Linked DNA regions of Nothobranchius furzeri. The protein of the gene in region 1 purifies or fractionates together with the protein of each later gene. This does not show direct contact. Links are inferred from orthologs where the notes say so. Each region holds a gene or a part of one and is shown in the gene's direction. Other genes may lie near its edges.

Region 1 (5,850 bases):
ACAGTTGCCTTTCAAAATAAAATAGTTCCCGGATCTTGTTCCAGCAAGATCTGGCTCAAATTAAGCCCTGTCTACAAGTCTACAAAACACGTAGATTGGTTGGATGAACTCCTGTGCACCCTCTATGACCCTGCTAAGGGTATAGAGCTGGTCTAGTGTTCCACAGACCAGGAGAATATCACATTTTCCTCCTAAATCTGATTGATTATCCAGGGGACCTTTGTCTCTGGATCCTTTGAAGAGACTTTGCCTGCTAAGCTCAGGAGTGTTTTCCCCCTGTGGTTGGAGCACACCATCCAGTACCTCTTTATAAATAGGGGGATCATCACCCCAGTCTGTCAATCCAGTGGAACTGCCCCCAGTATCCACAATATTTACTGTGCCGCATCAACCAACACAGTCCCACAACATCCAGCGCCTTGAGGAACTCCAGGCGAATCTCACCCACCACTGGAGCCCTACCACTAAGGAGTCTCTTAACCACTTTGGTTGCCTCAGCACTAGAGACTTGATAGCCCAAACCCCCAGAATTCACTTCCTAAATGGAAGATGTGCCAGTGGAATTGAGGAGGTATTTAAAGTACTCTTTCCACTGACTCACAACATCCCAAGTGGAGGTCAGCAGTACACCATCCCCACCATAAACAGTGTTGGTGGTGCAGCTGTGTCACCCTCCTGAGACATCAAATGGTGGACCAGAATCTTCTCAAAGTATGAAACTCCTCCATGGCCTCATCAAACTCCTTCCAGCAGGTATTTTCTTCCTCCACCACCTGAACCACACTTCACTTGGTATCTGGTGCCTCAGACCAAAAGACTCAACAGGCACATACTACTCTGTGGCCGTAGCTCTAGTCAGCTGTTTCAACTTTTATTTTAGTAAAATAAAGCAAATGACTAAAGAAGTTTGAAAATGACATGTTTTAGAAAGTAAAACGTCATCTGCTAGGATGATCAAGTCTTACAGTGAGAGGAGGCTTACCATACAATTTTTTTCTAAGCACACAACACTGTTACCAATATTCTCACTTCAGCCTAATGTAACAGTGTTGAAATAGTGTAGCTGTGCAGTAGTTTACATATAGAAATATCAGATTATTCATAAAACATACCAGTAGAAAGCCTGGAAATTGAAGGATTCCAAATGTTGTTCAACATGTGAGATAAAACATTAATTATTTTGTAGCGTGGCATCATTGTCTTGTCTGTAATTGGCCTTTTTTTATTAGGTTATATGTTTTTATGGTTGTTTTATATTGTCTTATTTGTACTTGTTGCCTGCTGTATTGTCCAGCACCTTGGGTGTTTGATGAGATTGTGGAAGGGACATTACAATCTTCTGTGCATTCATTCTGGGTCTTTTTAACTTGTATTTTTTTTTTGGTTCTCTTTTAAACACAGGAAAGAAAAGTTTTCTTCTCTGTGTTTAAAAAAGAACCAATAAATAAATAAATAAATAAATACAAGAGACTTTACAAATAAAGTGAAATGAAATGAAAATTCAAATTTTAAAGATTGTTTGTTAATCAGTACACAAGTATAGAGCAGGCATGTATGTGGCCCTCATTTGTCGCCCTTGGAGCAATTTATGTCACTGTCGTCCCCCCCCCCCCCCCCCCCAACATTGTATGTTCAAACTTAATAGTCCATTTTGACAAATTTTAGGGAGTACAAATGCAAGAATAAATATTTTTAGCATTTAAAAAATGTATATGTTGTGGCCTACAAGGACAGTTAACTTGCTGATTTTGGCTCTTATCTAGGAAAGTTTGGACATCCCTGGTATAAAATATATCAAGGCGTCAACTTTAAAGCCGCCTTTCACATGAAAAGAAACAAATATTATGGGATTAAAGCTCGTGTGTGTGTGTGTGTGTGTGTGTGTGTGTGTGTGTGTGTGTGTGTGTGTGTGTGTGTGTGTGTGTGTGTGTGTGTGTGTGTAACATAAAGTATAAAAAATACGGACGTTTGTAAAATATAGAATATTCTAAAATCAGAAAATTTGTGTCCATCACAGACATTTTATTTTACTGGTGCTATGTTTCGTAAGAGCTTAATTTCCTTTATTCATTCAGACAGAAACATATCAGGGATGTGCACAGCTGTTACCAATAACCAAATCAGTGTGTATTACTTATATATAATGGTGATGTGTTGTAAGTGAAATGTTTTATCATGTTTCTAAACAGTCCCCTTCAGTCTTTTCTTGTAGCACACTTGGATGACTTGGGGAAAAAAACATATCCCAGAATGCTCTGCGAGCCCTTCACCCCTCTTAGTTTTTGCATCCGGGTCTGTACTTCCTTTTCCTCCGTGCCTAGATGCGATGAGGACCTAGGTTTTTACGAACCTGAGAAATATCCGAATCCATCCTTGTAAAAGGCACCACCGAACCTCGTCAAAATGACCGAGCAGATGACAGTGAGGGGGACCCTGAAGGGCCACAGTGGATGGGTCACCCAGATCGCCACTACCCCTCAGTATCCCGACATGATTCTGTCGGCGTCCCGAGGTGAGGCTTCCCCCGCCGGCAGCCGCCAACATGGCTACAGCTAGCTTTGTAAGCTAGCAGTGACTCTTTGGTAATGTTACAAAAATACGATTTTTGCGGAAGTGGCAGAAGACCGCTGAAATGTGATTACAACAGCCTAAAGGCTCATTAATCGCTTATAGTGAACATTTGCGACTTCAGAAGTGGAGGAAACCTGGTGTAGTTAAACTTGTGCTTTCTAGCGTCATTAGCTGGATCTACTGTGTTTCACTCCTGGGTTTACACCAACATAGCACCGACACTGATTCATCCAGTTAAACATCAGACTACTTGACATGAGGTTATAAGGCCTTGAACCAAGCGCTGCAATGTGATATTAACTTGATATTAACTTAAGTGCTAGCTTCGCATGCTAATGCTACCTACCTGCTCTTTGCTTTAGGCAATACTCCTGAGTCCTGAACCTTATGTGTTAAACTTTCAGACAAGTCCATCATCATGTGGAAGCTGACTCGTGACGAGACCAACTATGGGATCCCTCAGCGCTCTCTGAGGGGCCACTCTCACTTTGTAAGTGATGTTGTCATCTCCTCGGATGGACAGTTTGCTCTCTCAGGCGCCTGGGACGGCTCCCTCCGACTGTGGGACCTCACCACGTAAGTACAGCTAGGAAGAAAGCTTCTACATCAGATCCGCTGTCCTGTAAATATATCTCTTTACCCGTTTACCTGCTCCCAACATATTTAAATGTGTGAGAGCATCTAGAGAAGTCAACTTAGGAAGGTTGTGATGAAATCAGTTAATCTGGGTCCTTTAGAGCAGGAAACGTGTGGAACTTGCAGGATGGTACCCCTCAAGGAAAAAAGTTGCTGACCCTTGATCTGCATCATCTAAGCATCTATGTGGAACACAGTTTAAACTAGTTAATGCTTTTCTTTTTAGAAATAAGTAAGTTGGTAAAGACTTGCATGTTTGTATTAGCTGGAAGTATGTCCTTTCTAAATTTAAGTTGTAACAAACATCCTGGATAGTTTTAAAGATATGATTTGTCACCTTTGTTCTATAAATGAAAATGTGTTTGAACCGATGTTAACACACAGTCCGCGCTAATGCGTATTTGTTACTAGAGCTACAAACATTTCAGCACTTATGACCTCTAAATACCAAGTTGCCAGGGAACATAACTTAAGCCATAAAACAGTTGGGAAATGACATCTAGTTAAGCTACACCATGTGTAAACCCAATCTTGGTGAACAAACTTCATTTGCGTGTACATGACCGTGCAACAGCTTTTTATACTAGTGTTTTGTACCACAGATAGAACTTCAGTAATCTCGCACTAAATAATAAACAGCAGACATTTAAAAATGCAGTTATATACAATTACAATGTTTGTCAGAGATCCTATAAAATAAATTCTCCCAGTTTCTTGTACCCGACACTGTTGTTCCACAGTGTTATTGTCCTTACTACACCTTCATCACTTTATACACTCCTTAGTTGTGACTTAAGAGAACAGTAGATCTAAATAAATGGGTTTGGGGTTTATACAGGAATAAAACTACAGTCCATGTTTGAACAGTTTTAATCATCTAAGTGAGGAGCTGGAATTTGATTCTGGCTAAAGTGCTGGAACCCGATATAAACTGAACCTAAAAAAAATTGTCATTGATCGGCATTAAGGTTTGTGTACTAAAGTGATTTGTTTGAATACAAGTGGGGAAAAAAACTGTTTTAACTCCTTAAATGACTGTAGCTTGTAGAGGCCATAATTAGTAGAGGAGGGCAGGCATTTTAAACTGTAAACTTAATATAGCTTTATTCTAATCGGACGTCTTAATCTTGTGTTTTTCTAGTGGCACCACCACCCGTCAGTTTGTTGGACACACAAAGGATGTTTTGAGTGTGGCTTTCTCTGCTGATAACCGTCAGATTGTATCTGGCTCCCGAGACAAGACCATCAAGCTGTGGAACACTCTTGGAGTCTGCAAGTACACCATTCAGGTGAGCTGTCACTTAATGCTGCTGCTGCTGCTGCTTAGAGCTGTTCCTTCTTTGGTTTTCATTTAGTTTTTGTTCAAGCTTTTTTTTTTTTTTTTAACTAGTTTTACATTTTCTGAGGTAGAGCACACAGCTCAGCCATCAGCTGGAGCATTGTGGACTAAATCTGTATGATGGTTTTAAGTGTGTAGTGTGTCAGGATCATGGAATAAGTCTCGGTGGTTACATGAGCTAAAGTGAGCCATTGTTGGGATGAGCTGAACTTTAAACTGTTCAAACTTGATTTTGCAGGATGAAGGCCATTCTGAGTGGGTGTCTTGTGTTCGCTTCTCCCCCAACAGCAGCAACCCCATCATTGTCTCCTGTGGCTGGGACAAGGTGGTCAAGGTATGGTTTACTAGTAATTTGCTAATGTTTGGTCCTGGTTAGATGGTTTAACTTAGTTTGCATTTATTAGCTGACTACTTGCGTAAGACAACCTTTTTTATGATTAGCTTCCATGTTGGATGTTGATGTTTGTTCTGTCTCGGGTGTGATGCCTCTCAGGTGTGGAACCTGGCCAACTGCAAGCTGAAGACCAACCACATTGGTCACACTGGCTATTTGAACACAGTGACCGTCTCCCCTGATGGCTCTCTGTGTGCATCTGGTGGAAAGGTAACATCTGCTTCCAGTAATTGTAGATTTCTGTAAAATGTTCTTTTTTAGAATCTTTAAGTGAACGGACAAGTTTTTGCAATGATGGAAAATTAATCATACATCTGTTTTAAAATGATGACAATAGAGGCTGTTTCTGAGCACGACTTGAACTTGTCACGATCCCCGTTTGTGGGGTTGGGTATCGTGTTAAGAGCTGCGATGTAATCACTGAAGAATGTTTTCTGTTGGTGTTCAGGATGGCCAGGCCATGCTGTGGGACCTGAATGAAGGCAAGCACCTGTACACCCTGGATAGTGGTGACACCATCAACGCCCTTTGTTTCAGCCCCAACCGTTATTGGCTCTGTGCCGCCACCGGCCCCAGCATCAAGATCTGGGTAAGATGTTAAGCTAAACATGTTATCAAGGAGGACTGTGATGAAATTTAAAATGTTAGCTGTATTGTTTGATGATATCAGAGGCTGTTTCTGAGCTCCGACCCAATAGAGAATGTCAATAAATTCAGGTATGTTACTTATTACCTTGGTTAGAGATACCATCACTCTGGTTCTCTTTTACCTCATTCAGGATCTGGAGGGCAAGATCATTGTGGATGAACTGAAACAGGAAGTGATCAGCACGAACAGCAAGGCAGAACCGCCACAGTGTACTTCCCTGGCGTGGTCTGCTGATGGACAGGTACGACACTCTCTGGAGGA
Region 2 (5,750 bases), on another chromosome or scaffold:
CAAGACCAAGGTGGCTTACATCCGCACCAGCCCCTCAGGTGTGTGTGGTGTGTTCTGATAACAGAAACGAGCAGGTTTTTATGTAAGAAATAAGCTAAAGCTTCCACAGGAAAATGCTTTTTTGCTGAATGATATTCCTACTAATTAGCCAAAGTGTCTCCTTCGACATAAATAACGGGATTAATGCAACTTTACATCACTAATGCTTAGAGCCAAAAACATAATTTAGTTCTCACGGGGAATTATTCATCATGTTCAGTTAACAGAACATTTGTGAGGTTTCTGATTTCTGGCCAAACTAATCAGAACAAGTGCATCATTTTAGTTCTGCAGTTATTCTGCTGTCAGACTGACCTGTGAGTTTACTCACCTTTATCACAGTTGTGTTAAAAACCGTCTCTTCTTCTGTGTCGTTACTGACATCTGTTGTCTTCTGTAGCGTACTGCGTTCAACATTTCTCTGCTTTTATTTTGAAAGCCCTGACATGAATGGCTGCTAGAATATCACAGCTTCAGTTAAAACTGTGGAACTACCTGTGACTGTGTGGGTGGTATCAAATGAACTTTTTATCCCACAAGAATACACTAATAGGTAAAAGTTCTCCTAGTCGGCGTTAATAATCCGGCTCAATCCCATTTTAATCCAGCCTTCTACTTCTGTGCTTGTGAGGCTGTGTGGAGGACCGGAGTGTTCCACTCAATCAATCAATCAATCAGTCAGATTTATTTATAAAGCGCTTTTCAAACAAAGTGCTTTACAAAATGACCCCAGATTCCCATAACAGGTTAAAAACATTAACAGACATATGCAAGCGCACACACACACACACGCAGACACACACACACACACAAGTAAAAATTATATTTGGCTGAGTCCAGATGAGCCAAGTAAGGTAAGGCAAGGAAACGCCATCAGAGGAGCCGTCTGCCCCGGTAGCATCAGGTCTTCCACACTAAGTCAGGGCGCTCAGTGGAGGGGGAGCATAGACCCCCACCTATAGAGCGCCCAGGAAGCTACAGTCGACCACCGCTCCCGGGGCAGAGGGCCCCCACAGAGGAAACACTGGAGTAAAATGAGTAAAAATAAAATAAAAGAGCTAATATAAATGACAAAAATTAGAAAATAAGTAATAAATAAAATGATATAGACAGTAAAATAATAATTTAAATAATAAAACTGTGCTAAAATATAATCATATAAAACATGCAAAGCAAGTAATAAAATGTAATCATGTAAAACGAGAAATAAAACTATAATAAATAATTAGATAAAAGCTAACCTAAATAGGTGGATCTTGAGCCTGGACTTAAAAACATGAATGTTCTCTGCGGCCCTGAGGTCCTCCGGCAGCTCGTTCCAGAGGCGAGGGCCATAATACTGGAAGGACGACTCGCCGTGAGTGTGTGTCCTGACTTTAGGGATGACCAGGAGACGCCTGCCAGAGGAGCGCAGAGGCCGTGAGGGTTCATATTGTAAAAGCAGTTCTGAGAGATAAGAAGGCCCAAGACCATTAAGACACTTAAAAACCATTAGAAGAACCTTAAAATGGATCCTGAAACATACAGGGAGCCAATGCAATGATTCTAAAACTGGTGTCATGTGCTCCCGCCTCCTGGTCTTCATCAGGACACGTGCTGCCGAATTTTGTAGAGGTTGTAAGCCTGAGATGCTCTTTTTGGGAAGACCAGAAAGCAGGGCATTACAGTAGTCTATCCTACTGGTGATAAAAGCATGCATCAGCATCTCCGTATTGGCCCGAGAGAGAATGGGGCGGACTCTGGCGATGTTCTTTAGATGATAAAAAAACTATTTTTATGATATTTTTAATGTGTGGGATAAAAGTCAGCTCAGAGTCAAAAATCACACCCAGGTTCTTCGCTTGTTCAGAAGGATTAAAAGGCAGAGATTGTAATTTTGGTAAAAGCTTCTCTCTCTGGGCCTCAGGACCAATGACTAAAGCTTCAGTTTTGTCCTGGTTGAGCTGGAGAAAGTTCTCTGCCATCCAGGATTTGATGTCTAAAATACAGTTAAAAAGTGCATCCATTGGCCGAGAGCCATCCGGAGACACGGAGATGTACAACTGTGTATCATCAGCATAATTGTGAAAGTTAACCCCGTGTCTCCTGATGACTCCGCCAAGAGGGAGCATATAAAGATTAAAAAGCACTGTGCCTAAAATTGAACCCTGGGGCACACCACATGTAATCCCATGGACCCGAGAGGAACAGGTATCCAAACTCACCATGAAAGTCCTGTCTGTGAGGTAGGATGTGAACCATCTATGTACAGCACCAGAGAGGCCGATCTGTTGTAAACGAGTTAAAAGAACAGTGTGGTCTACTGTATCGAAGGCAGCACTTAGATCCAGTAGAACCAACACTGTCAACTTCTGTTTATCATAATTTACTCTAAAATCATTTAAAATCTTCAGTGCTGTGGTTCACCCTAAAACCAGACTGAAATGTCTCTAGGACATTATTAGTGTTTATAAAATCATTTAGTTGATTTAAAACCGACTTTTCTAAAATTTTGCTTAAAAATGGTAAGCTGGATACCGGTCGATAATTATTTAATTCATTAAGATCTAAATTGCTCTTCTTCAACAAGGGCCTCACCACCGCCCTTTTAAAGGCAGCAGGAAAGACCCCCGTCTGAAGGGAGCAATTCATCATGGTTAAAATCTCATCACTAAAAGATCCATAAAATTGTTTAAAGAACGAAGTTGGAATTGGGTCCAGAACACATGTGGTGGGTCTCACTGAGGAGAAAACTTTATCAAGAGTCTCAGCTTCTACCAGGACAAAGCTGTCCAGTGTTTCCTCTGGTATAGACACACATTCAGATTTATCTAAAACCTTATTACTTATGGAGGATAAAATATTCCTTCTGATGGTGTCTACCTTCCCTCTGAAGTGGGCTGCAAACTCCTCACAGAGTGCATCTGAGTGGGTTTTCTGAAGTGAATTGGATGTACGGTTTAAAATGTTGTTTACGGTGGAAAAAAGTATTCTGGGATTGTGTTTATTGTCTAGAATGAGTTTGGAAAGGTATGCATTTCTTGAATTTCTCACTGCGTTATTATATGATTTAAGTAGCTCTGTATATATTTGATGATTTATAGTTGTTTTGTTCTTTCTCCATCTCCGCTCTGCAACCCTGCAATTTCTCTTTAGTTTCTTTAGATTTTCATTTCTCCACGGTGAAGCACGTTTTGAACATAGACTTTTGATTTTAAGTGGAGCGAGCAGGTCCAGAGCGGATTTCAGTCTGCTGTTAAAATCATTGACAGTAAAATCACAAGAGGCAGTTACGGGAGTGGGAGGGATCTTTCTAAAAACTTTCAAGAAAACCTGCAGCCACTTCAGCCGTGAGATGACGCTTCCTTACAGTTCTCACAGAGGGTTCCAGCTGGATAAGTCGAGAATTTTTTATGCACATGCATTTGGTTAAACATATACATCAATGAATCTGTTTACAGCTAAATAGTTCCGTGGCTTAGGCGGACATATTGGCTCCATCATGTCTGTTTACCTAGAAGGAATCAGGTACAGCGGCTGAGGAATCGCCTCCTTGAAGAGTTTGTCCCTGTTCCCGGAATCAGAGTCTTTTAACCACTGGTGACTTCTGATGAAGGGCTGAGGTTTAGGAGGACTCAGCCTGTGATTGTGTTACAGAATCAAACACATCATAGGGACAGGGAGAAATGCTCTTTAAAATAAACACAGCTGCAAATCAAAGGCTTTGAGCTGCAACGACTTACAGAACAGTAATTTAATCAGATGAAATGAAGGACGGCGTAAAACAAATCCAGCTGCAGCATGAAAACATGGCCAGTGAGACACAGCTGCATTGGCAGATTGTGTGTGTGTGTGTGTGTGTGTGTGTGTGTGTGTGTGTGTGTGTGTGTGTGTGTGTGTGTGTGTGTGTGTGTGTGTGTGTGTGTGTGTGTGTGTGTGTGTGTGTGTGTGTGTGTGTGTGTGTGTGTGTGTGTGTGTGTGTGTGTGTGTGTGAGTGTGTGAGAGAGTGTGAGTGTCCAGGCCTCAGGCACAGAACTCCCCTACAGTTCATAGAGTTTTATTTTTCACTTTCAGCACCCTCCATGCCTCAAGACGTGCGAGCGTACTCTAACTCATCGACTCAGCTGGTGGTGCGCTGGTCGCCCCCCGTCGCGCCTAATGGCAACCAAACTTATTACTTGGTGAGATGGCAACAGCAAGCTGAGGGCCGGGAGCTGTACCAGCACAACTACTGCTCTAAAGGTACACACACACACACACACACACACACACACACACGTACATTCAGCCATTCAGTCTCACCTGCTAGGCTTCACCCTTGTCTTCCTCTACCAGAGCTAAAGATTCCCATTAGGATTGCTGCCACAGGGGTGGGGGACCAGGAGGAAGACACCAAGCCCACTAAACCAGACTCCGACGGCCCGGATAAAGGCCCCTGTTGCCCCTGCCCCAAATCGGTGGAAGAGCTGGAGGCTGAAGCTTCTGATGCCTCCTATAGAAAAGTCTTTGAGAACTTCCTGCACAACTCCATTTTTACACCAAGGTAATCTGCTGCTTCTGTAAATTCCTCTGGGCTTCGCAACTTTGGAAATGTTTTCAAATCTTCATATTGTGGTTATGTCTGTCGTTCGCTCCCCCAGACCACCAGACCGGCGCCGCAGAGATCTTTTTGGCGTGGCTAACTCCACTCGTTCCCGGCGTGTCCAGCTGTCCACCAACAGCAGCACCATCCCACCTCTCCAAGGTGCTGGGAACAGCAGCACTGTGGACTCGGAGCCAGCCGACCAGGAATACGAGTTTGTGGAGCAGTCGGTGACGGAACGGGAGCTGCAGATCTCCGGCCTGCAGCCTTTCACCGTTTACCGCATCGATATTCACGCCTGCAATCGACAGGTCCAGCGCTGCAGCGCGGCTGAGTTTGTCTTCTCCAGAACCAAACCTGCAGGTTAGAGTAAACGTGTACTCAGCATCACACAGTTCAAAACAGCTGAAGAGAGGATGTGTCTGGTAACTGGAATCCTCCTGTTGGTTGTCCAGAAAAGGCTGATGACATTCCTGGTTCAGTGGTCTGGGAGGGTCATGAGAACTGGGTGTTCCTGCGCTGGCCCGAGCCCCCCCGCCCCAATGGGCTCATCCTCATGTACGAGATCAAGTTCAAACTTTCAGCTGAGGTAGGAGAACTTCGGGGTTCACGCTGAAATAAGTTCAAGTTTTTTTGTCTTTGTGTAGAACTCAGGAACCTCTTTAGAACATCACAACGTTCTATTCAGTAGGTGCAGTTAGCTCTATTAACCTGATCTGTGGTTATGGGTCAGCCATGTTTACCCTCAACTAGAAAACGTCAAATCATACCCATGATGTGTGTGTGTGTGTGTGTGTGTGTGTGTGTGTGTTAGACCGAGAAGCACGAGTGTGTGTCTGGACAAGTGTATCGATCTCAGCGTGGCGTTCGGCTGTCCAACCTCAGTCCAGGAAACTACTCCGTCAGAGTGAGAGCCACGTCGCTGGCTGGCAACGGTTCCTGGACACCCGCGCTGCATCTCTATGTGGCTGAACGTAAGACTCTTTCTGTCTCTCTCACACACACACACACACACACACACACACACACACACAGTCGAGCTCCATCGCTCCTGTCTGTATCTGTGCATCACTGTTTTATACGTATACAGGGTATGAAAATGTCTTCTACGCTACGATCTTTGTCCCCATCGCCATCGTCTTCCTGATCG
Region 3 (5,255 bases), on another chromosome or scaffold:
GCAAACTAAAAAGTGCGTGTGCACGCCGCGGGAACTTCAGCTGAAGCGACGGTGGCTGGTAAGGGTCACCGCGCCGAAACCGCGGCCACGGTAAACCCACCGAGATAATTTAGTTTTTTAAAAACTGGACGGTTATTTTTATTGTCAACTTTTTTACCGGGGTTTACCTTATACCGGTTACCGTGACAACCCTAAATGACATCATTAAATCAGAATAGAATATGTAATTTCGTCGAGCTTAATGTCAGATTTGTGTCACTGACATTTTGTTGTGATGAACTCTTTTCGTTTACTGATTTTTACACTATGACTTTATAATTCCAAGGTATCCAGGCCTCCTGAGAGAGGTGCCCCCACAGGATCAGCCAGAAGCCAGAGAAGCAACAGAGATGCAACCTCCACCCCAATCTCGACTCCTTCAGTATCGACAGTCCCAGAGCCGCTCTTCAGACGACTCTTCTTCCTCTTTAGTTGCCATGTCCAATCACGCTGGCCCCTTTCCTTCAGGACTTTACTCCCACAATACAAGTCGCAACCTCCTTAATGAAAACCTTCTCAACAATCAGGCTCTGCAGCAGCAACAGCACATGGGGAACTCCCTGTACAATACAGGTAGCTACCCAAATCAGCCACCAGCTCACTCTGGCAGCCCACCTTCCTCCCAGGTCAAATATCTTCTGCAAGAAGCTCAGTGGCCCCATGGTGGAGGTGCATCTGCATCACAGCAGAACCACTTGCTGGGGAACCAGGGCCATGGTCTTCTCTATGGACTGCCCATCATGGCTCACCCCAGCAGACAGGAGCAGGTTCTGATGCAGCATCACCAGCAGCAGCACCAACAGCAGCAGCTGCATCAACAACAGCAGCAGCTACAGCAGCTACAACAACCCCTGCCACAGCAGCCACACCAACAAAATCCAGGTCCTAACCCAGAGCCCTACCACCCACTGTCCCCCAGATCATCAGCAACTACAACCCTTCACAGTGTAGATGAGGTAAGAACTGCTGACCTAGTTAGCACAGTGATCTGTTTTTTTTAAATTCGGTCAAATAAAAAAAGTTCTTCAACCCTGAAGCTAGAAACTCTGTACAGTCGTTTATCCGAATAACTCAATAAGCAAGCTCTGGACATTTCTGGCATTCATTCAATGCCTGGATACTCCCTAGCCTAGAAATTAAGACAGATCATAGCAGAATGGTATTGCTTTATAGATCAGTCTAGCCAGGCTCTATTGGAACCTCAGTTTGCCCAAACTATCTTGTGTCTTACCAGTCACAGTGCTTTATTGGTTTGGTTGCGGGATGTTACTGCAACTGAGTGGAAAAGCTAAGATGGCGACGGCTTGTTTGAAATGACTTTGGCCTCGAATTTGGATTTTTTAGGCTTGGGCTTTTCTTTAAGTCAAGAGCTGATAGAGGTACTTCAGTCCTTTATTTAGAAAAAGGATGTATCTGAATCTTCTTCCATTTTGACTGACATCTGTAGTGGTGAGTATGTCATGTTGTTCAGTTTTAAAGCCAACTGTAGATCCCATCCCAAGACTGAGTCTATGGGTCGTGGCCAGACTATATGCTCACATATATAGGATGGCTGGCCAGGCTAGATAGTCCCAATAACCTGGAATATTACTTGTTTGTGCCAACATTGTTCTTTGTTGTTTTCTTCTTGTCTAACAATGACGTTAGCAGTAGCTCGGGCAAGCATTAGGAGTTTCTTGAGCTAGCGTTAGCACTAGCCTCGGCTAGCATGTTTAGTTATTGTAGACATTAGCATAGATTGGGATGCAACTTGACGTGTTATACCAGCTTTTTTTTTTTCCAGAATGAACCATGATATGAGCATAGGAAAGCAGGTTGGAGACAGACTTTTTGGCATATCGGACACTTCACGTTGCCTAAATTCGACAACAACAAAGTAATGGCCACAGAGTTTGTTTTGAGGAAATCTGGTTTAACACATCAGCTTAGACACACAGCCTTAAATTTTCATTTGCCATCCCACTTCAATATTGGCAAAATATTTAGCTTTGGTTACAGCAATGCTTACTGAAGAACAATGGTAGTCTGATGTACAGCTAATGCTAGTCCAAGCTAGCTAAACTGCTAAAAACCCTTGCCGAAAAAGAGGAAAGTAACAAATAATGTTGGAACACCATTCATGTTCCAAGATACACGGTGAATATTCAGACAGAATGAATGCCAGACAGATCAACATTCCCACACGCCCATTACATTTTCATAACCTGGCTGAGTGGGTGGGGTAAACCAGACTTTCCATTGCAGGGCTTTATATCGATGTCGTTTTGGGCAGTTTTTCAGGGCTCCTGGGCCATTTTGAGCCCCAATAATTTTTCATATGCAATAACTAGGCTCAAAGAACAATTTCCAGTTGTTAGACCTCTTTTGAGTTTCTTGTGTCATTTCTTTTGAATCTAATTATTTAACTTAATGTGTCATCATTTCTCCACTTGTGTTTGTGCAGTATGAACCACGAGGTCCGGGCCGGCCTCTTTATCAGCGCCGCATTTCCTCCAGCTACCCAGATGAACCATCTCTAGCCAACACCCACAATGCCCAGCCCTGTCCGTCAGACCCCCAGGATCATTCTCATATGCAGCATCATCAGCACCCACACCCCTCCTATAACTATCTCCCACAAGACCACCTCTGGCCCAGTAATGGTGCAGGTCCTGGTAAATTTCAGAACATTCCATGTAACGGATCCAATGCTCTGGCTCAACATCGCGACCTTATGGGTAAGTTTCTGTTAATTGGCTTTATGTTATTGTAAAGCTATTTTAAATCATGTTTAATTTGTCCAACTTACTAATGGTTGAACCACTTTTCAGCGTCCAAGGTTCTCCGTCAAACTGATGAGCAGGTGAAGGCTGAGCCCACAGCCACACAGCCCACCCATCCACACAGCATCACCTCCCATCAGCACCAGTTTCCTCCTCTAATGTCAAATAAAAAGCAGCAGCAGCCACCACCGCCACCACAGGCTCCAACAGAGGCCACCCAGGGGGCTCCAAATTTAAACAAAGCCCCCACCATGTCATACGCAAGCGCCCTCCGCGCTCCCCCGAAACCCCGAGCTGTTCGCCCTGAACAGGTCAAAAAGAATAGTAACCCTCTTTCCCTCCTTCAAGAGCTGAGTATTGGAAGTTCAAATGGTAGCAACGGATACTACTCCTACTTTAAATGAGTGTCACTTCTCCCACTTAATAGGTGATCAAATAAAATAATAAAATCCAAGCAAAAAATGGTAAAAAAATAATAAACAAAAAAAAAATGTGTGTAAAGTGCATTTATAATTTGGTTTCTACCAGTAGGTTTGTTTTCCTGCATTTTTTAATCACTTTGACTTCTTGTTGGTAATGTTTTTTCTTTGACATATCTGTGAAGAAAGTCAGTATATATAACAAATGCATTACTGGTATATATATATACATACTCACTATGTATATATGAATATATATACTTATATTATCTACACTTGTACATGTAAGTAATGCTTAAAAATAAATAAATAAAATAATATAAAAACTAAAAAAAAAGGTAACACTTGGCTGACCACTTAGCTTCCTGCTTTTTTAAAAGAATTTTTTTCTTAAATATAAAAAAATGCTTGTTTTTGCTTTTTTTCCAAGTTTCAAGTAGACATCAACAGCTCATAATACTGTGTTTTTGTAACAACGGCTAAGTGGTCAACCGACCAACAGCATAGAACAGTGTATAGAAGTAGATAAATTTTCCTCTAATCTGTACAGATAAAGAAAATAAAAAGACTGAATTGTACACCACATAAATCATGTTAGTATTTGCATTATGAATAGTTTTTTTTCCTGCCCCCTTTCAACTTTTAGTCATCCTTACTTTAAAATAATCTTTGGTAATTTAGTGGTAAATGTGATTATAGAAAAAACAACTCCAGTTTTCATTTAATTTTCACCAAGACGTCATCGGGAAGACTAGATTCAGTGTGAAACTGTCGCTGAATCGGTCGTGTGTTTCATTCTCTGTCGGCTTTAAAGCTCTAAGAACGCGAGACGATGCTTTCTGTGATCAGATGAACCACGCTGCTTGTTTGAGCAGAATAGTTCCGTTATGTTTTATTTTGCTGGTGCTTGTTTGTCAGAGCATCAGATCTGATCATTTCAGTAACTGTTGGTCCGCGGATTATTTTTGAAAGTTTTTTTGGTCTGAAGGTCTGCGTAAGTGAAGAGAAAGCTTGGTCATTGTGAGTCGTGATTACCGTGGGTTATTTACCTCCAGTCAAATGTTTTTGAGCATGCTAAAACAGACGAAGAATGGAAAACTGAAGCAAAAAAATTGGTATTTGTGTGAAAAATACTTTTCTTCCCCAAAATTTACATTTTTATAATAAGAAAATGTATGTACATGTTTGGATTTCTTGTCATAGATGTATTGTTTTAATTGTAAAATCTTATTTTAAATATTCTGGTACATTTTATGCAGACATTAAAAATTTAAGTTACTCAAACACATTTTTCTCGTGAATTTTAAATCTCCCATCACCTCAAAAGTGCAAAAAAGTTCTCTTAATACTTTTAGCTACTTTAGAAGGGTGCTGTTTGAACCAATGAGTGATTCAATCTGGTACAATCCGGTATTTGAAGTGGATTGAAAAAGAGCCCTTTTTAAAATTCTTTCCCTTGCTGTACGTTTTTCACGAAATTAGAAAATTTAGGATCTTTGACAAACCCCATAAAAAGCATCTGATTAACTGAGTAACAATGTAACGTTGAACTGATATTTAATGATCAATAAGGCTTTGTTTAGACGTTTTATCTTTTGCAGTTTTTCAGTTTTAATAAGACATTTATTTAAGTGAAAAATGTTTCCGTTATCTTGAGACACTTATTAAAGGGACTATAAGGAAGTTTTGACAGCCAAAACATGTATAGAAATAATAAATGTCTTCTTCACACATTCTCCTGCAATGCCCTGGTCCTGTAGAATGAGCCCTGGCCTTTTTACTGTGATTGCCTGTTTTTCTGTAAAATCACAGAAAAAGAGAGCTGCTCGGGTCGAGCAGGCTGCTTCATGCGCGTTCACGCTCAGGCATCGCCCGTAGCATTTGCTATCCGTAGCGTTATCAGCAGAGAGTGAGGTAGTGCCAACTCGGCGACTTTGTCACGGTTCCTAACGCCTAGTGATGAACCTAGCTACATTTCTGTAGCCTAGTGAACTAGACCAAATTCTTGCTTTGCAAAGTTTGGTCTAGGCATGCT

The links. Proteins that work in one complex are often made in the same cells at the same time.
Region 2: the proteins of rack1 (region 1) and insulin-like growth factor 1 receptor purify together in Homo sapiens (affinity purification with western blotting; 4 studies listed by BioGRID, with this or other methods). This does not show direct contact. The link is inferred for Nothobranchius furzeri from reciprocal best matches to the Homo sapiens genes RACK1 and IGF1R.
Region 3: the proteins of rack1 (region 1) and helz purify together in Homo sapiens (affinity purification with mass spectrometry; 3 studies listed by BioGRID and IntAct, counting the BioPlex papers as one, with this or other methods). This does not show direct contact. The link is inferred for Nothobranchius furzeri from reciprocal best matches to the Homo sapiens genes RACK1 and HELZ.

What each region holds. Positions count from the first base shown.
Region 1 is NC_091741.1:97,231,739-97,237,588, reverse strand, and holds the start of rack1 (small ribosomal subunit protein RACK1), read left to right. Parts: upstream 1-2,291; 5' UTR 2,292-2,403; coding exon 2,404-2,512; intron 2,513-2,975; coding exon 2,976-3,147; intron 3,148-4,348; coding exon 4,349-4,496; intron 4,497-4,784; coding exon 4,785-4,880; intron 4,881-5,039; coding exon 5,040-5,150; intron 5,151-5,388; coding exon 5,389-5,529; intron 5,530-5,719; coding exon 5,720-5,830; intron 5,831-5,850. UniProt on the Homo sapiens protein: Scaffolding protein involved in the recruitment, assembly and/or regulation of a variety of signaling molecules. Interacts with a wide variety of proteins and plays a role in many cellular processes.
Region 2 is NC_091749.1:29,660,421-29,666,170, forward strand, and holds part of insulin-like growth factor 1 receptor, read left to right. Parts: coding exon 1-38; intron 39-4,092; coding exon 4,093-4,260; intron 4,261-4,353; coding exon 4,354-4,561; intron 4,562-4,658; coding exon 4,659-4,963; intron 4,964-5,055; coding exon 5,056-5,189; intron 5,190-5,414; coding exon 5,415-5,574; intron 5,575-5,690; coding exon 5,691-5,750. UniProt on the Homo sapiens protein: Receptor tyrosine kinase which mediates actions of insulin-like growth factor 1 (IGF1). Binds IGF1 with high affinity and IGF2 and insulin (INS) with a lower affinity. The activated IGF1R is involved in cell growth and survival control.
Region 3 is NC_091744.1:2,412,657-2,417,911, reverse strand, and holds the end of helz (probable helicase with zinc finger domain), read left to right. Parts: intron 1-325; coding exon 326-995; intron 996-2,482; coding exon 2,483-2,756; intron 2,757-2,849; coding exon 2,850-3,205; 3' UTR 3,206-3,274; downstream 3,275-5,255. UniProt on the Homo sapiens protein: May act as a helicase that plays a role in RNA metabolism in multiple tissues and organs within the developing embryo.